3 linked regions of the Zea mays genome follow. The protein of the gene in region 1 interacts with the protein of each later gene in a pairwise test. Links are inferred from orthologs where the notes say so. Each region holds a gene or a part of one and is shown in the gene's direction. Other genes may lie near its edges.

Region 1 (6,712 bases):
CCGGCTCCACGCATAACTTCCTCCAGAGTGCCACCATGCGTCGTTTGGGGCTGGTACCCGCCGCAGGGGAGCACCTCAGGGTCACTGTCGCAAATGGTGACAACCTTCGCTGCGCCGGGGTGGCCCGCGATGTGCCCATCTCCATCGAGAACGAGCACTTCTCCATCACGTGCGTCGGCCTCGACTTGGGTTGCTTCGACTTCATCCTCGGCGTCGACTACCTGCGGACCTTAGGGCCCATCACTTGGGACCTCGAGGCCATGACGATGGCATTCCAGCGCGACGACCACCGTGTATTGTGGCGGGGCATCGGGGGTGCCGACCCTCCTGACCCTCGAGCCTCCGTAGCAGCGGTGGTAGCCGCAAGTGACCAGCAACCCATGCTGGACCGGCTTCTTCTTCAGCATGCCTCCACATTCGAGGAGCCCCGAGGCCTGCCGCCGGCCCGACCATACGACCATCGCATCCATCTGCTCCCGGGAACAGCACCGGTCGCCGTGCGACCATACCGATACCCCCAGCTGCAGAAGGATGAGCTGGAGCGCCAGTGCGACGCCATGCTCACCCAGGGGATTATCCGCCCTAGCACCTCGCCATTCTCGGCGCCGGTACTCCTTGTTCGCAAGGCGGATAAGTCCTGGCGTTTCTGCATCGACTACCGCGCCCTCAACGCCAAGACTGCCAAGGACAAGTTTCCCATACCCGTCGTGGACGAGCTTCTCGACGAGCTCCATGGGGCTCGCTTCTTCACCAAGCTCGATTTGCGCTCGGGCTATCATCAGGTGCGGATGTGCGTCGACGACATCGCCAAGACGGCGTTCCGCACTCATCATGGCCACTATGAGTTCCTAGTGATGCCGTTCGGGCTTTCCAATGCCCCGGCGACATTCCAGGCCTTGATGAACGACGTCCTACGGCCGTACCTAAGGAGGTTTGTGCTCGTCTTCTTCGACGACATTCTTATCTACAGCTCGTCATGGGCAGAGCATCTGCAGCAAGTCGCCATCGTCCTGAATGAGCTTCGGGCGCACCAGCTCCACCTAAAGCGCTCGAAGTGCTCATTCGGCCCTCGCCCGCTTTTCCCGGTGCCAGCATCTACATCTTGGCGAAATCGGTCGAGGAGGACGAGGGCGTCGTTGCCAGGTGTAGGCGCAACATCATGTTCGGTGGGCTGTTGATGGCGCGGCCGGCCAGCGGCTGCTCCTGCCAGATCTGGCCGGCGGGGGGTGCGGCACCATGTGCTGCTGGCGGCGAGTCGCGTGGCACTCGCGTCTGGTGTTTGCTTGCTTTGGTGACCGCGGTTGCCAGGGCTGGTGGCGGCTGGCGACAGTGGCTTCGACGCGTGGCAGTGTGTTGCACGCGGCTTGGTGTTGCTCGGTTTCTGTGTGCCTAGCAAGAGGGGATGACAAACCAACGCAGCTTTGCGGCTGCTGCGGCAGCCGACGCGTCGTCGCCCCTCTGGAAGGGTTTGTGTGAGGTGTCAGGACAACAACGACGACAGAGGTTGCTTGCTTTGACCGGGGTCTTGGCCTGACATTGTGTTGGGGGCTTCTTGGGCAAAAGCCTCGACGACGGTGACGCCTGTGGGCATTGCTTCCCCTGCTGAGGGCGTCACATTCTTCAGCATTGTCTTCCATGGGCGAAAGACCGGTCCATCTCAGACATGCGACGATGGTGTCCCCGACGTCACTCCTTGAAGACATCGCTTTTGAAGTTCGTCTCGGCCACGACGTCGTCTCTCGGTTGTTGGTTTCGCTTCTCGTTGTTCGGTAGGCGGGTGGAGGTGCGGGCTTGCAACGTGAAGTCGAAGCTACTACGTCAGAGGATGTGGCTCGACAGCGATGACATGTGGCGAACCCCCCTTCATCGTGGACTGGACTGCTTCGGAGGTTGGGCGTATGCGGGGTGGGGTGGGGCGGAGGATCTTGTTTGGAAGTCTCGTTGGTGAAGAATCGAAGCTACCTTACGTGGGGTGTCTCAAGGCTTGGCAACGACGACACACCGCGGTCTTCCTCCTGTGCTGGTGTTGTGGGTGTAGACGTCGTCAGGTTTCCTTTGGTCATGTGTTGTCTGTCTTGGGGAGTCGGAGCTGCCCATCCTTTGTGTTGAGCTCGGTAACGATGACTCTGAATGGGCTTTGTGTATGGGCTGTCGTCGTTTAGGTTGCTTGGGCACCTTGTATAGGTTTTGGGCCCGGTTTTCCTTAAAACTGGATCAATTCCTTTCTTCTTAATTGAGAGGCAGAGCTCCTGCCATTACGTTAAAAAAAGTCTGAGATGACTAGCGAGTCAGGGTCTATCGACTTTTTTTGAGGGAAAACAGCAGCGGGAACCACTATGGAGGCATATAGAAAGTTTGTACGCCGAAGAAGAATCTCAGTATCTTCAAGCTATACTAATCATGATGTGGAGATACTGATTGACTAATGAGTCAGAATGTAGTGACAGTTTTAAAATCGATATGTTCTGAGAGTTTCTGACTCATTAGTCAATCAAATACTAAACTCCGAATTGACAAGATCAGTTCTGCATCAATTAGCATGCTATCCTGTCGAAGCAAGAGACATATGCTTCATTAACCACTGCATATGTCATCGTAACTGTTAAATAACTAAAGTATTTCAATGCTGTTAGGGTAATTGACTGTCAAAAAATTGTACACCAACATTTTTTGTGTATATCTTAGTTCACGTAACACTAGTATTTTCGTGACGGAACATCATTTTTAGGAGATAATTTGAACAGTCAGTATTTTCTATCTCTTGTATGCTCTTTTTTCTTCACCGGCCTCTTGTGTCCGGTATGAATGCAGATAGAAGACCTTGTTGTTCCTGCTTCAGTTGATCAGTTGCTATCGGATTACGCAAAACGATTTCACCAGATAAAAACTCCACGAAAGCTATTATGGAAGAAAAATCTTGGAACAGTTAAGGTTGGAAAAACATATTTAATTAATGGGTACTATGGAAACATATCTTGCTATGAGAAGCGGGTATAAGTTATAACTTTCTTTGCTCTTGCAGTTAGAACTGCAATTTGACGGAAGAAGCGTGCAATTTACTGTAGCTCCTGTGCATGCTGCAATCATAATGCGGTTTCAAGAGAAATCTAGGTATTCAAAGAACTGTATTATTGCATGTATCATTTGTACTCTTTTGACTAAATCTATCGAACTTTCTAGTTGGACTTCAAAGGCACTTGCTACAGAAATTGGCATACCTATGGATTCTCTTAACAGAAGAATAAGTTTCTGGACAAGCAAGGTCTGGCACACATGTATCAGCGGATAATTGTTGCTTTATTTTTTTTTATGTGAAATATGCTTGTCATCATGCAGAACATGCTAACATGACTGTTGGAGCATAATCATTATTATTGTATATTGGCTGTTGCTGATAGCTTCTGTGATGTGATGATATAGGGGGTCCTGACTGAATCAGCAGGACCAGATGCCGATGATCGCACCTTCACTGTTGTCGATAGCATGTCTGATGTCAACAAGGACAGTATTGTGAATGAACGCATGGCAGAGTATCAGATGACTGAGGAGGAAGGTGAAAGCTCTGTGGCTTCAGTGGAGGAACAGCTTAAGAAAGAAATGACAGTCTACGAGGTATGGCTCAAAATGAAATACTGAATAAATACGTTTACATTTTGTTTGTGCTCACCTTTCAAACATTGGGACGCTGTACGCACCGCAGAAATACATCGTCGGAATGCTAACAAATTTTGGGAGTATGTCGCTGGACAGGATACATAACACTCTAAAGGTAATGGCACAAAAGATGGTTGGTCGGCATTCCCCTTATCTGATATACTGGTTTTTTTTTATGTTTCACATTTTGATCTCTTTTCATTTTTTTTTCTCATTTTGCAGATGTTTTGTATTGCCGAGCCATCGTATGACAAGTCGCTGCAGCAGCTGCAAAGTTTTCTTTCTGGTCTAGTAGCAGATGAAAAGCTAGAAACGAGGGATGGGCTGTACTTGCTAAAGAGGTAGCAGCCGTTTCTATACTAGGATAGTGGGTTGTTAGACTAGGGTTGTACACTTGTACTATTTGCTAATGAGTTGTTTAGACTAGAGATGTCAGGTAATCAGATATAACACACTTCATTATCAAAGCTATGTTATCGGGTTCAGAGGCAGCTTACATATCCTATCTCACATCCTCCTTTATTTTAAACTTCATTATGTAAACAATGACTATGAAGGTGTTACTATGGAGGTATTTGAGATGGCTCTAGGTTCTAGATCCAGTATGGAGCTGTAGTTTATGTCAGTTTATTTAAATAGTTTTAAAGTATTTATAATCTAAATAATAAATAAAATAATTTAACTAAATGTTTTTTAAAGTCTTATAACTCTAGATTCACGATTTTCTGAAGCATCTGATTTGTTATACCAACTCTATCAATTTTTTTGAGCTAAAATTGTCCCAAACAAGATCTATATACACAATTTGCTAGAGGCAGATGCTGACGTCAGGCTACGACTCCCTCTCCCCTCTTCCACGTGTACGAACGGGGATGAGCCGTCCAACGACGTCATCTCCCTAAGTCCCTTTCCATGGAATATTAGGTGAGAGAAAAATCTCATCGGATGTAGGAGATGTAATCTCTCATTTGTTAATGACTGTGATTATTTACGAAATTAATCTATTCTAAACTTCTTAACCAGAAAACAATGCGTATTGCAATAGCACAAATACGAATATCGTACATTTTTTAACTCCAAAAATTTATTGTATATGAGTTAAATAGCTTAGTTAAAACATAAAGGGAAGCCAAATAGTGGAAATGATTGGATAAGATAAATAGGGAGAGTAATAAAAGAGGGGATGTATTTAAAAATAAATAGAAAGTATGAATAGAGGGAAATGAGAGTAGGAATGGTTGGAATCAACCTTGTAGCACTTAGCATTCACTATCGCAAGTTATTATTGCTATTGTTACACCCCTATCCAATACGTGAATAGTTATGTGACGATGTGGATAGTTTCAATAATAATAAAAATGCTAAGGTAGTGATTTGGACCATGATAAAGAATGATAGGGTGATTAATGATATTATTTTTAACTGTATGAGAACTAGTTGACATCATAAAATATAAGACAGTCTACAACAGTTTACTCATATGATCATAAAAAACTGGTTTGCACTGTAGATTATACTGTTTACATAGTAAAGTTTAAATATATGGATGATGATGGTTAAGCTACTAGAGATAACCTAATAATACACTTTGTGATCTGCTATGCAACTAATTTATTATAAAGATGTGAAATGAGAATCGTATCTTTATAAAACATCTTTATAAAACAGAGAGTGAAGGTCCACACCAAATAACACTTCCTTTCCTTATCATTAGAAAAATAGATTTGAATTAAAAAAACAGCATATTTAGTGTAAAAACTATTAGCACACTAATATACTAACACCAAGTCTTGTCCATCAGATTCACTATCTACGATTGAGTTAAATCCCACGCACATCCTATCATACGAAGACTTAGTTCTTTAGAAAATAGTTTAGGAGGAGATGATATTGCACTAAGTCATAGATGCTGAATTTGATGAACAAGATTCAATGTTACTGTATTAACACCTTAATTATTTTTACACTATGTTGTCTTTATAGAAAACTACTGTAACGCGCATCCTGGAATCTTAATCCAGATATGGGAAACCGTTGTTTAGCCCACTTTCCAGTACATTTTGCGGGCTGCAGGCCCACGCACGCGCCACTCGGGGCCCAACGAAACTGGCGCCGCGACGAATCCTCTCGCCGGCTGCACCATGGCCGGGAAGAGCGAGGGACGCTCCCGTGGTCGAGGGTTGGGATACCGATGACTCTGTGTGTGTGCGCGCGCGCGCCCCAAGTCCAGTCCAAACATCCATCGGTAGGGATGGGACTGCCTAGTCGAGGAGAAGCTTCGCTGGCGCCGCGCCGCCCCGCATTCGTCGACGAGGTCCGTTCCTGCTCAGGTTTATCCCACTCCGCGTTCATCTCTTCCGTGTAACAATAGAGGGATCGAACAAAATGCAAGTGACGGGAAACCGAGCAAACCAGTGATTCTCCTGGAGGGAAGCATGCAACGGGGCCGCCAGGCCGGATGCTGCGTTTTTGTTTGTAGCTCGCAGACTTCGATCTGCTTGATTTCACTGACGTGCTCATCGCAGAGGCATTTTCGACTGTTTCCACGCGGTTGGCGATTAGCTTTGACTCCACTCAGCTGTAACAGTCCAGCGAAATTTCCGTCTCGTCATCTTTCCTAGATGCCTAGGCACGAGACAGGAGTCACAGGAGTCCACATCTGTCTTCCACTATGCTCTGTCGTTCTTCTCTCCTATACTTTCTTACACCTCTTTCCTGCTAGCTACTAGGGACCTTTGTCCTTTTGCTTCAGTGATAAGTAAGGAACAATCTGTGGGTGGATAACAAAGCTTGACCTGACTCAGAGACTCGGAATCTTTGGCTCTTGCCCCCGCGTCTTCTGGGAAAAGACGCTAAAGGTAACCAGCATGAACTAATAACTGGGAAACTGCATTATGCACACGAAATTAAGCACCAGTGTAATGAGTGATCAGTTAATCAGAAATTTGTTTTTTTATTTGTAATTTGGGTTGTATGCACTGCAATTCATTGCAGTGGATAAGATGGTTGGGAATTGCAGATATTCATGCTAAATCACTGTTTAAACGATTTTCATTCA
Region 2 (7,538 bases), on another chromosome or scaffold:
CCTCCCTTTATGGGAATATTCTAGGGATAGTCTGGTTACCCGAGGCATAAACGTACTTGCCTTGGGACGTTGGCCGCTCGAGTACCTATAAATACCCCCGTACAGTGCCCTTGAGAGGCCAGATTAACAGAGCAATTGCCATCTCGCGAGTGAACTTTGTTAGTATTTTTCCCACACCCCCGTTAGATCAACTTGCCCAGGAGAGCAAGTTGCAACAATTTCAAACGATTAAAATGGTGCCAACCAATTAGGATCTGCCACATCATCAAGATACAAGTTAGTACCAACAGAGTCTCCAATGTGCTGGTCAATACCGACCAATTTGGTCCCAACATGATCGATACTGACTAGGTCGACCGTCCCACTAGATATAGCCCTGCCTAACTATCGTGGTTTCCGAAACCTAGGGACAATAAGATTGTGTTCGGCAGAGGTGTTAGCGCCGACTCACTCTGAATGGTGAGCTATAGGGGTCTCGAGGGTGGATCTGATGCGAGTTGGTTATACTGGTTCAGACCAAAGCCCTAGTCCAGTGTGGTGCTGACAGTAGTATTGCTTAGAGCGTATTATAGTCGGTGCTGGTGTGAAGTTGTAGAGATATGTGATGATGTTTGGATGGGGTTGTCTTGCCCTTTTATAGCGCAATGGTAGACGTTACAATGCAGAATAGTATTCCACTGGTGTGGAGTTCGGCTTCCTGCTTCTAGGCCTTGTAGCCACTATGGCGTCGTCTGTTGGGTCCTGCTTCTAGGCCTCGTAGCCCATGTGGATTCGTTTGTCGAGGCATGCGCCGTCGTACCCCTGGTATGGCGTTATGTCCTATTCGCCTTCTGATGGGTTCCTATAGCTACTTTGATTTAGACGTGGTAGTGCTTGGTGAGTTCTGTTGAGTCAGCTCATGACATGGCTTAGGGATGTCTTCGCCTTCCATCATGCCCTTAGCGTCACCTTTCATCATGCGTAGGCGCACGTCTGGTACGACGTAATGTCCCATCCCCTTCGGCGTATGGGTCACTATAGAGACCACGATGTTGAGGTCTTTAAGGTCGAGGTCGTTTGGTCCTACTGTTCAACAAGGATACGTATCCGGTGTCGTGCTTGACAGAGTCCCCTCGGTACCGCTTCCATAGTTCGGGCATGGCTCGGTGATGTCCCATCGTGTCGACGTGGCTTGATAGTACTAGGTCGGTTCATTGTCGTCTTTCTAGGTTGCTCGACGGGCAGGATGGTCGGCAGCCTCGCCTCGTTGGGTTGGTCAGCAGCCTTGCCCCGCTGGGTTGGTTGATAGCCTCGCCCCGTTGGGTTGCTAGGCAGCCCCGCCTCACTAGGTTGCTCGGCAGCTCTGCCTCGCTGGGGTGCTCGGCGAATATTTGTTCGGCGGGCGGGCTGGTCGGCTTGGCAGGCTGTCCCCGGTTGGCCCTTTGGACCTTCCCGCCGAGCTGCTTGGTAGGTGGGTCGCCCGGTTCGTGAGCCATCTTCGAGGGGTCTTGCGACCTTCTTTGGGTACCCTGTTCCCAGGTACCCAACACTAACCTAAGCCTACTAGTTTTTGACTTGCCCATAAGACTAGGTGGATAACAAAACACACATAAGTCTAAGTGGACAACATATATATTACTACTTAGGTAGGATCTAACTAGAGCAGCTACCGACCGGTGCGATGGAGCCATAGCAGTCAACTACTTATGTAGGATCTAACTAGAGCCACTACCGATCGGTGCGATGGAGCAATAGCGGTTGGTACCGGCCACACACATAGTCACATGGAGGGGTCAAATGGTGGCCGACTTAGTCCAAGCAGGGCTATATCTAGTGGAAGCGACATCGCCGAGCACCTGGGAGGCAATGACAGTGAAAAGCTGTTAAACAGTCTGTGCACGAGGTGAGCCATGTGAGGACACTACATCGGTGTTAAGCGATTCGGGACACGATAATGACAAGAATGTGGGAGGTTATGGCGAGGCGAGGCGTCTTCCCATCTATTTCTTCCCCTCACATCTCCATCCTAACCCTAGCAGTCAAATACATTAGGAGTGGTAGGAGGAGCACATAGGCAGATGTGTACCTACGGACAAGAGAAGCACTGAGAGAAAGTATAATAAGTCATAGTGGCCCATTATGGCCCTCACCATACCTAAACTACTCGACCCAACCCAACAGAGGAAGTGAGGAACCTTAACTCCTCCTTGCATTACATCCCACTTGGTCACTTGTCTCCGCCTACGTGCCTCGCCACCTCCCACTTCCCATTATCGTCTTCTATGAGGTATTGTCTCCTTTGAGGCTCCTAGCCGTGAGCTACCTGCCACCACCCACTCCGTGTGACCCAAAGCTCTAACCTTCGGATGCCAGCGCTCCACCACCCGCTCCTGGCTCCACGCCTCCACCTCTGGCACTCTTGCCTAAAGGTGGGACAACACCCCTCCCGATGTACCACCTCGCTCTGTGCACGACACGTGGGACCCTCCCGATGCCCACGCTCAGCGCCTTCATGGTGGTACCCCCATAAGTCGTTTCTCGCTCCCCTTTGGCCTCTAGCACTCCTACTCGGCTCCTCTACGACAAGACCATGCCCCTCCCGATCTGCCATCTGCCTCCGCATGCACGCAGCCGCTCCTCTAGTTCCATGGCGTGCAACTGAGCCGTCTACAACTTTGCCTTCTCCCACATTATCTAGGCTCACGTGTAGGTGCTCGCACCGTGATATGGTGCGCACGAGCATGTTCACCTTCGTGCCCTGCTGGCATAGTCTGCCGCCACCGTGCGTCTACCGTCGACAACAAGCGCCCGCCAGTCGACACCGCCTCAGAGCATGTCATCCGACCGCTCGATAGTCGATACGTTCCTCGTTGCCATACTGAAATTTGTAGTCGTGCTCCATCACTGGTAGGCGGACTGTAAGAGATAACAAATTAGATTTATGGTGATATGAAAGAAAGAGAAATAGAGAGAAGAGAAGCATACTGCTCACTAGTATTCCATTGAAAATGTACAACTAGTGTTATAAGAGAGAGAGAGAGTGGTGGACCAAATATTAAATTTACAAACTATTATTATGAGAGAGTTATTTTATGTTAGACTTTTAGTTGGCCATATATAATATAACAACATTATTAAACTTACTATGCTCTATATTATTAAACGGGGTCCCATTATTAAACTTGCTGTAACATATATATATTTTTTTAAAAAAACTGCAATCACTTATCTCTGAAGGCCTACTTGATGAAATGAAATGCCAACAAATAGTTAAAGGCCTGCCTCAGCCCATCTTCACTCCCTCCCGATGCCCTAACCCACGGTTACGACTCCGACGACGCCACCCCGGCGGCCTGCTGCCCAGCTCCCTCTGCCTTCGCGCAGTGCCTCCTACCCTTTTGAATCCGCGCCGTGCCACCCGAGTCCAGGCCGGCAGGCCCCCAGGGTGCGAGGGCGGCACCGGCGCAGGCGAACCGCAGTCCGCGCCTCCGCACTCCGCCCCATCCGAAGCTCCGAGCAGAGCAGGAGCAGCAAAGCAAGCGAGCGTCAGGTTAGCACTCTGCAGCCCACCAGGCACAAGTCCACGGCTCACCGGGCGGGCACTGGCGACCGCTACCTGGCCGCCAGCGGCGCTGTCCTCCAACCGCTATTGCGTATCTACTGTCTTCCGGCTTCTGCGTCTGAGCATCTCTTGTGACGGGTGAATACAGAGAAATAGAGTATTGGGTACTGAGTTTGAGTAATGAGCAGGGACAAATGTTTGAAATTGCCGATTGCAATCTGTGAACTGCTAGATGGATTGGGGCAAATTCCTGATGTGCTTTTTTTTTCTTGTATTGGCAGACTGGCTGAATCGAGAGGTGGAGGCAGCAACCAACAAGGCAAGTTATTTGTATTAGCAAATGTAACATGCATTTTTCCCCCTGAGGTTTAAACATTTTGGTAAACTTTTTACTTGCATGTTGGCATGTTACATTTGCAGTACTAAAAGAAATTATGTTAACTTGGACCACCCTTTCTTAAAATCCTGGATACGCCATTCATGGGCAGTGCCGGGTCAGGCCTCAGGCAGTCAGGGCTGAGTGTGCCACAAGTGGATCATTGGAGGGGAGGAAGAAGCTGACCACTGTGTCTCCATCGGAGTCGGGCCTAGTGGGTTGATCAACATGGTTGTTTGTTAGTTGGTCATGGTGCGTGCTGTCGGTTTACTTGGTGAGGAAGCATAACATCTATGGAGCAATGCCAAACTTTGTATTAAGGAGATCTACAGAGCGTGAAACCAGCCCGATCTATGTGCGAACGTAGGCTTGGCGCTGGAGGCCAGCACTGAATTGGCCCAGTAATTACCACTTACCAGGGATACTAGCTTTAGCCCAATAGTGCAGTCTCTCATCCGGTCATCCCCCTTCCCCTCTCCCCTCCCTCCAAGCCAGTGAGCACGGGGTCTTATACCAGCCGCTGCTCCCACATCCCACACCACCAACTTTCATGACCTCTCGGATCATGCCATATGCTCCAGTGCCTCTGCCTTATTAGTTGGCTCCCCTTCTCTGGCTTCCACTGTGCTGGCGGATGCCCAGTCTGTGCATGTCCCTTCTCTCGTTCTTGCTCCCAGATTAAGAAGTTACAAAGTTATTGATTCCCAAATAACTGGAGAGAATCACAAATTGGTAATGCCATTTTCACGACTTCTTGGTCTATTTCAGTCTAATGTTAGTTGTTGCGTCGGTTATGATGTCAGTTATGATGTACGATGATACTAGGATTTAGCTTGAGTTTATTTAAACTTATCTCGTGTAACAGTTAGCAATCCTGTTGATCCAGTTCCGGCGCACTGTTTCTTATGTCACATCCAGCAACTCTGAAGGATCTTTTCAATCTCTAGTTCGTGTCCTAGTCTCTCCTCTCCACTGGTGCTGGCATTGCTGTTAGGAGACCTCTGGATTTGGGGTTATATTTTGGTGGGAAACCCTAAATGTGGATCAATTGTTTTTTTCCTGTAAGAGTCACTCTGCAGTAATATGTTAAAGCCCAAATATCTCATTCTCTTCATCAGTTGATTGAGGATTTCTTTTCTGCGTAGTGGACTACTAATTCAAACTGCCCATACATTACTTGTTCAATGGATTCTGCATATGACAAGATGCAGTGAATAAAACGTCTCTTGTTTATATATTGTTGCATTCCAGGTAGCACTATGAAGGTCAAGATTCTTCAGTGGCATGCAGTGGCTTCTTGGACGTGGGATGCACAGGATGAGACATGTGGCATATGCAGGATGGCTTTTGATGGCTGCTGTCCTGACTGTAAGTTCCCTGGTGATGATTGCCCACTCATTTGGGGTGTCTGCAACCATGCTTATCATCTTCACTGCATACTGAAGTGGGTCAATTCTCAAACATCCACACCCCTTTGCCCCATGTGCCGTAGAGAGTGGCAGTTTAAGGGCTAAGGTACTATGGACATCTAGAACTGCACCAAGCGACTCTCAGTTCTCAGAGAAGACTGATGTTTTTCTGGTACTTCTGTGATGCTTTATTTTAACTACTACATATTGTTTTCCGTACTTAGTATAAATCCTGATGTCAGCGCCTGATCCTGTGTATGCTTCCAAGCTTGTAGTGGAACAAATGAAATTATTGCTTTTCTTAGGGCTGATTTCCTAATCTTATCCCATATTGGTTTGTTCTTATTGTTTATCTTCTGAAGGATTACAAGAAGTCTAGTATCAGAGCTAGGCAATTGATTGGATTCTGTTCTGGTAGGGTATTCTAAGTACTGCATAACAATGAGGAGAAAACTGCATAGTGTATTAGGCTATTAGCCCCACTTGCTTTCATCTCTATTCTTTACTTCCACAACAAGAATGATCTATCGATTAGCAGGGCTCAATTCAAGATCCTATACTAGTACTGAACTTTGAGGGTCGTGTGCTAGGTCATTCTGGAAAGGGAGCATATGGAATACAAAGATAGAAGTAACCGTGCATGAAAGTTTCTGCTATTCTAGTAAATTATCTCGTCCGTTCCTTAAAATTGTATGCCTCTTCCAGTTTGTAGGGTACTTCTGTTTCTTCCATACCAATGTTAGCAATGGTGCCATACAGCACTAATAAAACCTTTAAACTTATGCAGTTGCATGGGGGCTGTTACTGCTTATAACAACAACTCCGAGGGACTCTTTATACCCTTCTTAATTTATAGGAAACAAATACCCTCCAACAGCCGGATCTCTAAATATAGACACTCTATTCCAGATTTCTCACTAGCCAAAGATAGATAGTGAGGATGACTTTCTAGAGTGTGCACAAGATATAGGAAATTTATTGGAGAATACAGAGATATTGAGAGCGAGTTTTATTCAAATGACTATCCAAACGATAATTTAGAGAGTTAGTTTTAGAAAGACTCTTAGGGCTAGTTTGGGAACTACATTTTCCCATGGGATTTCTATTTTCCCAAGGGAAAATGAACTAATTTCCCTTAGGAAAATGGAAATCCCTTGGGAAAATGTGGTTCCCAAACTAGCCCTTAGAGATGTTCTAAGCCTCCCACATTGCACATTATCGCTGTGATTTCGACAGGTTGGATGGCTAATTTAGTTACTCTTCACCTTTCTAGAAAGGCATGTACTTTTTGTTCCTTATTAAAATTGGAGTTCTAGTCATTACAAGTGCATTTAGACTTATTATATAAGCCTCCTAAAATTTACTCAATAGTGTAAGATCTGGTGCACTTTATGACTCTTTCCCTGTTCGGAGCCACCTCTTTAGGGCTTGTTCGTTTTGGTGATAATCCACATGTATTGGGTGGGATTGAGCCGGTTTAAACCCATAACAAGTCAAAATCCACCCCAATCCCACCCAATACACTCTAATACACATGTAATATCAATAACCGAACAAGCCCTTAGGGTTTGTTCGGTTAGGTCTCAATCCATGTGGATTGAGTGTGATTAGGTGAGTTTAAATCTCAAGCAAGTCAAAGTTCTTCTAAATTTTTTTCAATCTCATCCAATCCATATATAATGGGAATAACCGAACAAGGCCTTATTTGGTTGTGAAGTTGTGGGAGTATACCGACTGCACCGACTGAGGCTCAAATTGTGGTTGTTCAATTTGAGGCGCGGTGCATTGTTTTTTATTGGCATGAGCTTTTGCTCCACGAAATCAGAGTTAGCATTGGACTTCGCAATCTAGTTGTGTGGTAGGGACTAGTGAGTGTGCATGCATCTGTAAGACTGTAACCCCAAAAACGGAGGCACTTGGAGGTTGGAGCTTATTTTCTCATTCAATATGATAAATTCAAAAGGTTATATTGTTGTATGACTGATAAACGCCATCCTTGGGAAATCTTTTATGTTCCCTTGGCTATTTTGCTGTTGTTGCAGAATCTACCCCAGAATCGTTTTCCTTTTCTCCTGAGCCAAGGAGGCATAAAGTTTAAGTTAGGGACTATTAGAGCATATAAAAAAATAAACTCTAAAATAGAGTCCTAGAATTTGAAATAGGACCGTATTTAGGGCATCAAAAGAAATTTTTAATCCAACAAATCATATTA
Region 3 (7,301 bases), on another chromosome or scaffold:
CGCGACCCTCGTGGCCCGCGGCCATGTCCCTACTATCGACGACTTGGAGTTTGTGGGGATGGTCGATGGCAGCGGGGACCTTATTTTCGACACCCTCTACTCAGACTCAGGCTTGGACCCCAACGATCAGCGAGAACGGACCCCCAACGAGCGGCGAGAACGGACCCCCAACGACAGGGAGAACGAAGGTCGCTCGCCCCTCTTGATTCCTACCCCCCGAAAGGCCAAACATTGTTGATGGTACCGACGAAAATGGGGGTGCCACGAGCGGCAGGAGTTGGAGAAATTGCCAAGCGTAATGTCTCCGCCAAGAATCCTCAGTAGCTCTCGATAGGATCGAGTTCACACTCCGCTTTGTAATTCCTTGGTAGCTATCAATGAAATACGGTTTCGAAACCGCTTCTAATGCCGGACATAGGAAATGGCAACAAGCCCTAACCTAGGCCTATCACTCTCTCTCTTTCTCAGTAGCTAACAGGGCAGGCGACGCGTCGGACGTCAGAGGCATGGGACAAATAGCAAGGGGATCGATGGAGAGATGGGTGGGAGCCCCCTTTCCAAAACTGATCGTTTCGAGTTTTCTTATTTTACGTTAAGAATGAAATACTCCTTTTGTCGGGTATGACAATTAGGGGTACCAAACTGCACCCCCAAAATAGGCTTAAAATTCTAGGGACACCCCTAAAAAACAAACCCCCAACCTCCGCCTGTCCCGAGGTCCGTGTCAAGAGCCATCCCCACAAAAGCTCCCCACGAGGGCCTCCCAAAATCTCTGACTCGCCCGAGCCGAACCTCAAGTTGGTCACATACTCGGGAGGGTCTCTGCCTCGCCCGAGGCACCCTCGCCTTAGGACCGCCTTGTCCGCCTTGCCCGAACCTGTCTCAGGTGATAAGGACAAAGCGAGCCCGAAGGCAGGTGGGGGACACCCGCTAGGGATGGCAACAGATAAACTATCCATGGATAGTGTCTCTAGACATCCATATCCGTGACTTATATCCGATATCCGAACCCATACCCGTTACCCGCTACGAATAAAAACAGTATCCACATCCATTACCCGCGGGTAACGGATATCCGCGGATATATCCGTTTGCCCACTATAAGTTTAACTTCACACACTTTAGGAAAGAAAAGACTAGCTGTAATATATTTGGTCCCAGAAAACAACATGGTTAAGTCATAAAATATTCCCAGTTTCTCACAAACAATAGCTGCAGTTGTGGCAACGGGAGTACGGGACTTGGGCAGTTGGGCTGGCTGTGGTCCGTGAAGTGGTTCCAAACTCCAGTGACCCCACATGTCGAGTTACTTTAACGGATATTCGGGTATTCAGATATGGATATTGATTGTTCGTACCTGTTTTAAAAATATCCACGGATACCAAATGCTACCCGTATCCGTGTCCACGGGTACAGGTTTGTACCCAAAACCGTGCCCAACGGGTTTTTTATCCGCGGGTACGTGGATAAATCACATCCATTGCCATCCCTAACAGCCGCATTCAATGCGCGTACCTACCCCACGCAAGGTTACAGGCGTACAATACAAGACGACTATGGTCTTGTCCAATACCAACAACATGATTACACACGCGCTACTGTGCACGCACGTCGCATGCCATCCCCTGACGGGATGTTTAATACAACAGAAGAGCGGACTAGCCCTCGGGCCCAAACTCCGCCTCGCCCAACGCCAAGCTCACCCTCAGATACCGCTTTCGCCTCGCTCGAGCTTGGCCTCGGCTACCTGCTATACCACGAATCCTGCAGGAAACCACTCCGTCGACTGTGGCACACATCAGTAAGGATTCAGCCATCACCTCGGGAAGACTTCCGCCTTGCCCGAACTCGGCTCCGATCTCGATATCTGCAGCCAAGGGCACCCCAATGTCATCAGATACAGAAGCGCTGACACATCCCGCAAGTGGCTTTTCTCCATAACTAAGCCCTATTACAACCACTACGATATGGGTAGCCCTCCCCTGAGGGCTCGGGCATAGAGCCAAACCCTCAGCCTTAGCCTCGGCTCTCAGCGGGAAACCAGCGAATTCAAGTGAACAACGAAGTACAAAGGCCTTGCTGTCTACAGGACGTGAAGACACCCTCCGCAGCAGGCAAGCAGCCTCATCTACAAAGACGTGCTCCCCTTAGGCATATAAATAGGGTAGTCTATGACCTCTCTAGGGGACAAGGCGAACACTTCGTAGCTTTCTCCTGGCATTCGATATTGGCACTTGTCTCAATCATTTCTAGGGACATATGATTTAGATTTTTTTTCATTTTCCATGGATTTTTTTTGAATAAGAGGAGTGATCAAAGTTGGGTTGAAAAAGTCAAACGAAATATATTTTAAAACAGAGGGAGTACTATTTTAGATAAGTTGAGTATTATAGATAAACCTAATCTGTTAGGGGGTTTTTGGGTTGAGGAATCCTTCTATCTAAAATGAGGTGGTGCATCATGGGTCAATTCTTCAAATTTGTTGGGATAAGTCTATTTCTCATATTAGTATTAACTAACTAACTAACTATGATGAATGAGTTGGTGATGGATCAATTCATTCCATTTCATAAACCAAACAAAAAAAGTGAGGAGCTAGAAGATGATGGACTAGCTCATTACTCAAACCAAACACTATATTATATAGTACTATTATGATGAAGAAGCCACTTTAAACCAGTATACCCCGTTTGTATGTAGATATTGGAGCACATGATTAGAAATTGGAATCAGATTTCTAGAATTTTATTATTTTGTTGTACATGAAATTGAGATTTGGAATCAGAGACCTAATTCCATAGAATTGGACTATAACTAGAAATTCCGTCTCCTAATACAGAGCACTACTCCTCTGTATTGAGTGGAATTGGACCACACAAATCCAAACTCTAATTCAATAACATCCAAACAATATATTTGAAATTATATCTCATTTCAGTATCATGTTTGATTTGTAATTGAACCCAATTCAATTTTCATGCTTTCCAACATCCACATTCAAACTGTAATAGCAAATAACCCAGCCGGGCTTGTCCAACGTTCACATATTCGGAGCGAACCCTATGGCCCACTTGTCGGCCATGTAACTCGGCTGTTTCGCACAGGCACGGCACTCGTTGGAAACTTGGAATGCCCTATCAGATCGCATCGCACCCAAAAATCAAGAGCCTGCTGGATTCAAACGGCTGATTCAAACGACCAGAGTCCGGACACTCACACTCCCCTGCTGCGCCTGCCGCCTGCGTTTCGGCCACCGCACTACTTCCCCAATCCCCTTGATATCGCCCACCCGCGCTCGCCGCCGCCGCTGGGCGGCGATGGAAACCCTAATGGTAGACCGCGTCCACAGTAGCCTCCGCCTCTTCATGTACCGCAACGCCATATTCCTCTGCGAGCGCCTCTGCGCACAGTTCCCCTCCGAGGTAGCCCCCTTTTATCCATGTTCCTTAACGAGGCTAGTACGTCTCGATTCGGTGTATTGCGCGTGGGAATGGTACATCTGGGGGTCGGATCAGGCGTGTGGCAGTGATTTGAGCGCGGGGCTCACCTCCGTTGTTTAGTTCGATTCAGTAGTCTTCTGTCGTTTTTTTTGAAGTGTCTAGGGTTGCATTAGGAGTAGAGTAGCAGAGTGGTGAGCTTTTGGTCTGTAGCTTATCTAGGCTTGAATTAGAACAGCTCTCTATAGCTGGTGTAGGGAACTGGAGTATCCCGCGTGATTCATCTAGGGTTCATAGTGAACTTTTACTGGAGAGGGTGATTTTCTGCCTAAATTTTTGAGGCAATTTCACAGGTAAAAGCTCTACTGGTGTTTATGCATAATGGGCATTGGTTACAGTAACGTGTATGCCTGTGAGTTCTTTTCCTTGTCAGAACCTTGGGGTGACAATATTTATAGCCCATTAGGTATTCAGTTGCTTGAATTCTATGTTCTTACAGGACATGCTCACCCACTTTCTTTTCTAACCTTATAATTACTTGAGGGTGTGGGTTTTAATTTTAATTTTGGTTCTTGACGTGGTTCATGGGTCTTCATGTGGGATGAAGTTCAGGAATTTGAATGCATGGTTTTGTGTTTTAGTTTTTATTTAGGTTCTTGATGTGGATCATAGGTCTTCATGTGGGATGAAAGTCGACATAACTTGAATGCATGTTTAGTGTGTATGAGACTATGCATTCAATTTCTTAGCAGATGACCTCACTGATTAACCTGAATCTGTGCCTGCTTTACAATGCTTTCTTTTCAATTAGTAATTCTTGCTCACAAAAAATCTTAGTTTATTTTTTTTAATTTTAAGTCCATTTGCAACATAGTTGTGGGCACTAAATGTTCTTGCTCTACCTCCTCTGCACAGACCAATGTGCAATTGCTAGCAACCTGCTACCTACACAACAATCAGCCATATGCTGCATATCACGTTTTGAAAGGTAAGTTTGGATGGTTATATGCTCGCCATGTAACACATATATTATATAAAGGTAGTTTGGATGGTTTATGGATTTTGTTTCTGATGTTATATGAAGGGAAGAAGCTGCCGGAGTCCCGGTACTTGTTTGCTACATCATGCTTTCGAATGAACCTCTTGCGTGAAGCAGAAGAAATTCTATGTCCAGTCAATGAGCCAAACATGGAGGTATAAATCATATTTTAGAGTGATTTGTTTATGTAAATATCTCTAACGTTGAACACGAACCTAGCCATTCTATTGGAGATGAAACCCAAAAGAAAACATGTAGAACGTGAGTGAACCTTGATTTGTGGTTTATGTTGGGTTTCAACTCTAGCCTATCCTAATTTGTTTGGGACTAAAAGGCTTTGTGTGTTGTTTGTTGCTGTTGTTGTGAATATCTCATTCGTTTGCCTTTGTGCAACAAATTGGTGTGTGAAAACTTGAGTGTGTCTGTTTTTGTGTAGAAGAAAGTGTGGTGGTATTATAGCAGCAAAGTATTTTTCGCTCAGTAATAAACTATATTAACAACATAATATTCAAAAGGGACTTGACAGCACTACATTAGTTTGAAAAATAAAATATTGGTAACAATAGTTTGTTTCCTTATGGGGTTCCAGTTTTGAATAAAGGGAGGTGCATGATGCACTTGTTGGTTTGTGAACTAGAAATTCCATAGCTAGTTCAGTGAGAACATTTACTGGTTCTTTTAAATAATACTAGGCCTGATTGTTTTATTTTTCCTGCGGTGTTTCACACCAAATTTGTTTCCAAGGCCAAAGTCTTATGTATGTTTATTCCCCTTTATTGTTAGAAAGTCTGGTTGTTTTATGTTATACGAGAGAAGCATTAGTATTACAAGGTACGTGCTGGCACAGCATGGATTGGCTTGAAACTCTCTTTTTTTCATTTGTTTTTCACCTGGGGCACGATGTTCAGCTGAGGTTTTTTTTCTCGAAAGAGCGCAGGAGGACTGCGCACCCATATATTAAAGTAGAGGGAAAATAAAGGGCCATAAGGACCCAGGTACAAGCACTCCTTATGGAGGCCAGAAACAAGCATACACAAAGCTATCCATAAAACTGGATAAAAAACACTACAGCCCTAGGAGCTAGGTAGTTTGGCTGGCCAAAAAGGAAAGCCCCTTGGCACCAGCCAGGTTCCTCACTGATTCTACAGAGGTGAAGTAGATACTTAGAAAATAAAATCAATCACATTTGTTTGTTTTAATTCCTGTATTGGGTCAGCTTGTTTCTAGTATTAGTTTCATCCTTCTGCAGGTTCCAAGTGGAGCAACAGGACACTACCTCCTTGGAGTGATCTACAGGTTTATTATTCATGGCTTAACTGAATCCATGTTGCTGCATTCTATATTTCTTCAGAGTTCAGATATTTATCTCAACTGTGTGCAGGTGCACAGGCAGAATTTCAGCTGCAGCTGAACAATTTACACAAGCGTTGACTCTAGATCCTCTTTTATGGGCGGCATATGAGGAATTGTGTATATTAGGTTGGTTCATTTTACACCCATATATGAAGTTCTGTGGTAGGTCTATAGCAATTGTGATATATTAGGACTAGTTGCATGAAGTATACTATTGCCTCATATCTTAACCTTTGAAGGTGTAGAAATAGAAATGAAATGGTGATTTGAATGCGTGTTACTGAATATGCTACATCTAGTGGATTTGAATATGGCCTTCATAGACATTTCTCATATATTGTTGTCTTCTATGTTAACCTGTAGAAATATGTTTGTTCCTGTAAATTCAGAGCATTTGAGCATTACTGCAGTAAATTCTCTATCCGATGGATTTCAATCATCATCAATTAGCTTGCCATTCCGCCATTCGTTGTTACTGGCTCATACCTGGTGGGCAGTATTTCCTTTTGCCTTACTGTAGAAGTTACACTATGATTCATTAATCCTTGCCTTTTTGCTTGCAAGGAGTCACTCTCAATTTAAAGTTTGAAGCCATAAACATACATTAAAAACGTGTCTTTGTCTTATAGGTATTGCCGAAGATACCGATGAGTGTTTTAGTGAATCGACTGCTCTACGTCTCCAGCAGGAACACACATCCACGTCCACTTTGGTGAAGTCGAACTTTGCCAATGAAAATCGAGTTCTATCATCCAGTGTCTCTGCAAGTTTTGGGGATATTATTCCTAAGCAAATCAAACAGCTTCATGCTAACAACATAACAGAAGTATCTGGTTATCCTCATGTAAGACCAACCGCATTGCATGTGCAGAACAGTTCAACTTCTAATGTATCACAGTTTGACACCCCATCACCAGCTGCAGCACAGGTCAATACAACCTGTTTGATTCTTCACTTATGATTTTTTTTTGCCAATGTGCACCTAATAGTAATAGGAGACTAAATGTAATCATCAGTTGGTAGAACCATGTTAAAAAGCACTGGTAGCTTGGTTTCTCTTATGTTTCCAATTATTTGACACTGTCTCAGATGGCTTGTTTTAGACCCCGGTGTCTCATATGTTCCCAATTATTTGACACTTGCTCAGATGGCTTGTTTTAGACCTTCAAGAATTGTCCTGACCCCAGAACTTGTTTTGTTCATCTATCTTGCCCCATCTACCTTTTTTTCTAAAGAAAATCATTTTCCCTTGCAATGAAGTATTCCCTCCATTCTAAAATGCAAGTCGTTCTGGCTTTTCTAGGTGCACAGCTTTTGCTATGCATCTAAATATACACTGTCTCTAGTCCACATTAACTTACAATTTGGAATGGTGGGAATAGAAGGGTGGGTCTGGTGCAGCGGTAGAGTCTCCACTTGTTTTGGACGTTCTGGATTCCCATCGGCCTCCTTGCGAAATGCGAAATAAGCAA

Evidence for each region.
Region 2: the proteins of anaphase-promoting complex subunit 2 (region 1) and Anaphase-promoting complex subunit 11 interact in binary tests that used the Arabidopsis thaliana proteins (3 or more experiments, as listed by UniProt). The link is inferred for Zea mays from reciprocal best matches to the Arabidopsis thaliana genes APC2 and APC11.
Region 3: the proteins of anaphase-promoting complex subunit 2 (region 1) and Cell division cycle protein 27 homolog B interact in binary tests that used the Arabidopsis thaliana proteins (3 or more experiments, as listed by UniProt). The link is inferred for Zea mays from reciprocal best matches to the Arabidopsis thaliana genes APC2 and HBT.

What each region holds. Positions count from the first base shown.
Region 1 is NC_050100.1:59,055,721-59,062,432, forward strand, and holds the end of anaphase-promoting complex subunit 2, read left to right. Parts: intron 1-2,811; coding exon 2,812-2,931; intron 2,932-3,022; coding exon 3,023-3,111; intron 3,112-3,180; coding exon 3,181-3,262; intron 3,263-3,420; coding exon 3,421-3,612; intron 3,613-3,700; coding exon 3,701-3,769; intron 3,770-3,876; coding exon 3,877-3,999; 3' UTR 4,000-4,259; downstream 4,260-6,712. UniProt on the Arabidopsis thaliana protein: Component of the anaphase promoting complex/cyclosome (APC/C), a cell cycle-regulated E3 ubiquitin-protein ligase complex that controls progression through mitosis and the G1 phase of the cell cycle.
Region 2 is NC_050096.1:47,776,318-47,783,855, forward strand, and holds Anaphase-promoting complex subunit 11, read left to right. Parts: upstream 1-3,251; 5' UTR 3,252-3,529; exon of another isoform or gene 3,530-3,705; intron 3,706-3,822; 5' UTR 3,823-3,860; intron 3,861-5,168; 5' UTR 5,169-5,176; coding exon 5,177-5,431; 3' UTR 5,432-5,668; downstream 5,669-7,538. UniProt on the Arabidopsis thaliana protein: Component of the anaphase promoting complex/cyclosome (APC/C), a cell cycle-regulated E3 ubiquitin-protein ligase complex that controls progression through mitosis and the G1 phase of the cell cycle.
Region 3 is NC_050098.1:172,618,517-172,625,817, forward strand, and holds the start of Cell division cycle protein 27 homolog B, read left to right. Parts: upstream 1-3,192; 5' UTR 3,193-3,317; coding exon 3,318-3,422; intron 3,423-4,352; coding exon 4,353-4,425; intron 4,426-4,521; coding exon 4,522-4,631; intron 4,632-5,725; coding exon 5,726-5,772; intron 5,773-5,857; coding exon 5,858-5,955; intron 5,956-6,458; coding exon 6,459-6,757; intron 6,758-7,301. UniProt on the Arabidopsis thaliana protein: Component of the anaphase promoting complex/cyclosome (APC/C), a cell cycle-regulated E3 ubiquitin-protein ligase complex that controls progression through mitosis and the G1 phase of the cell cycle.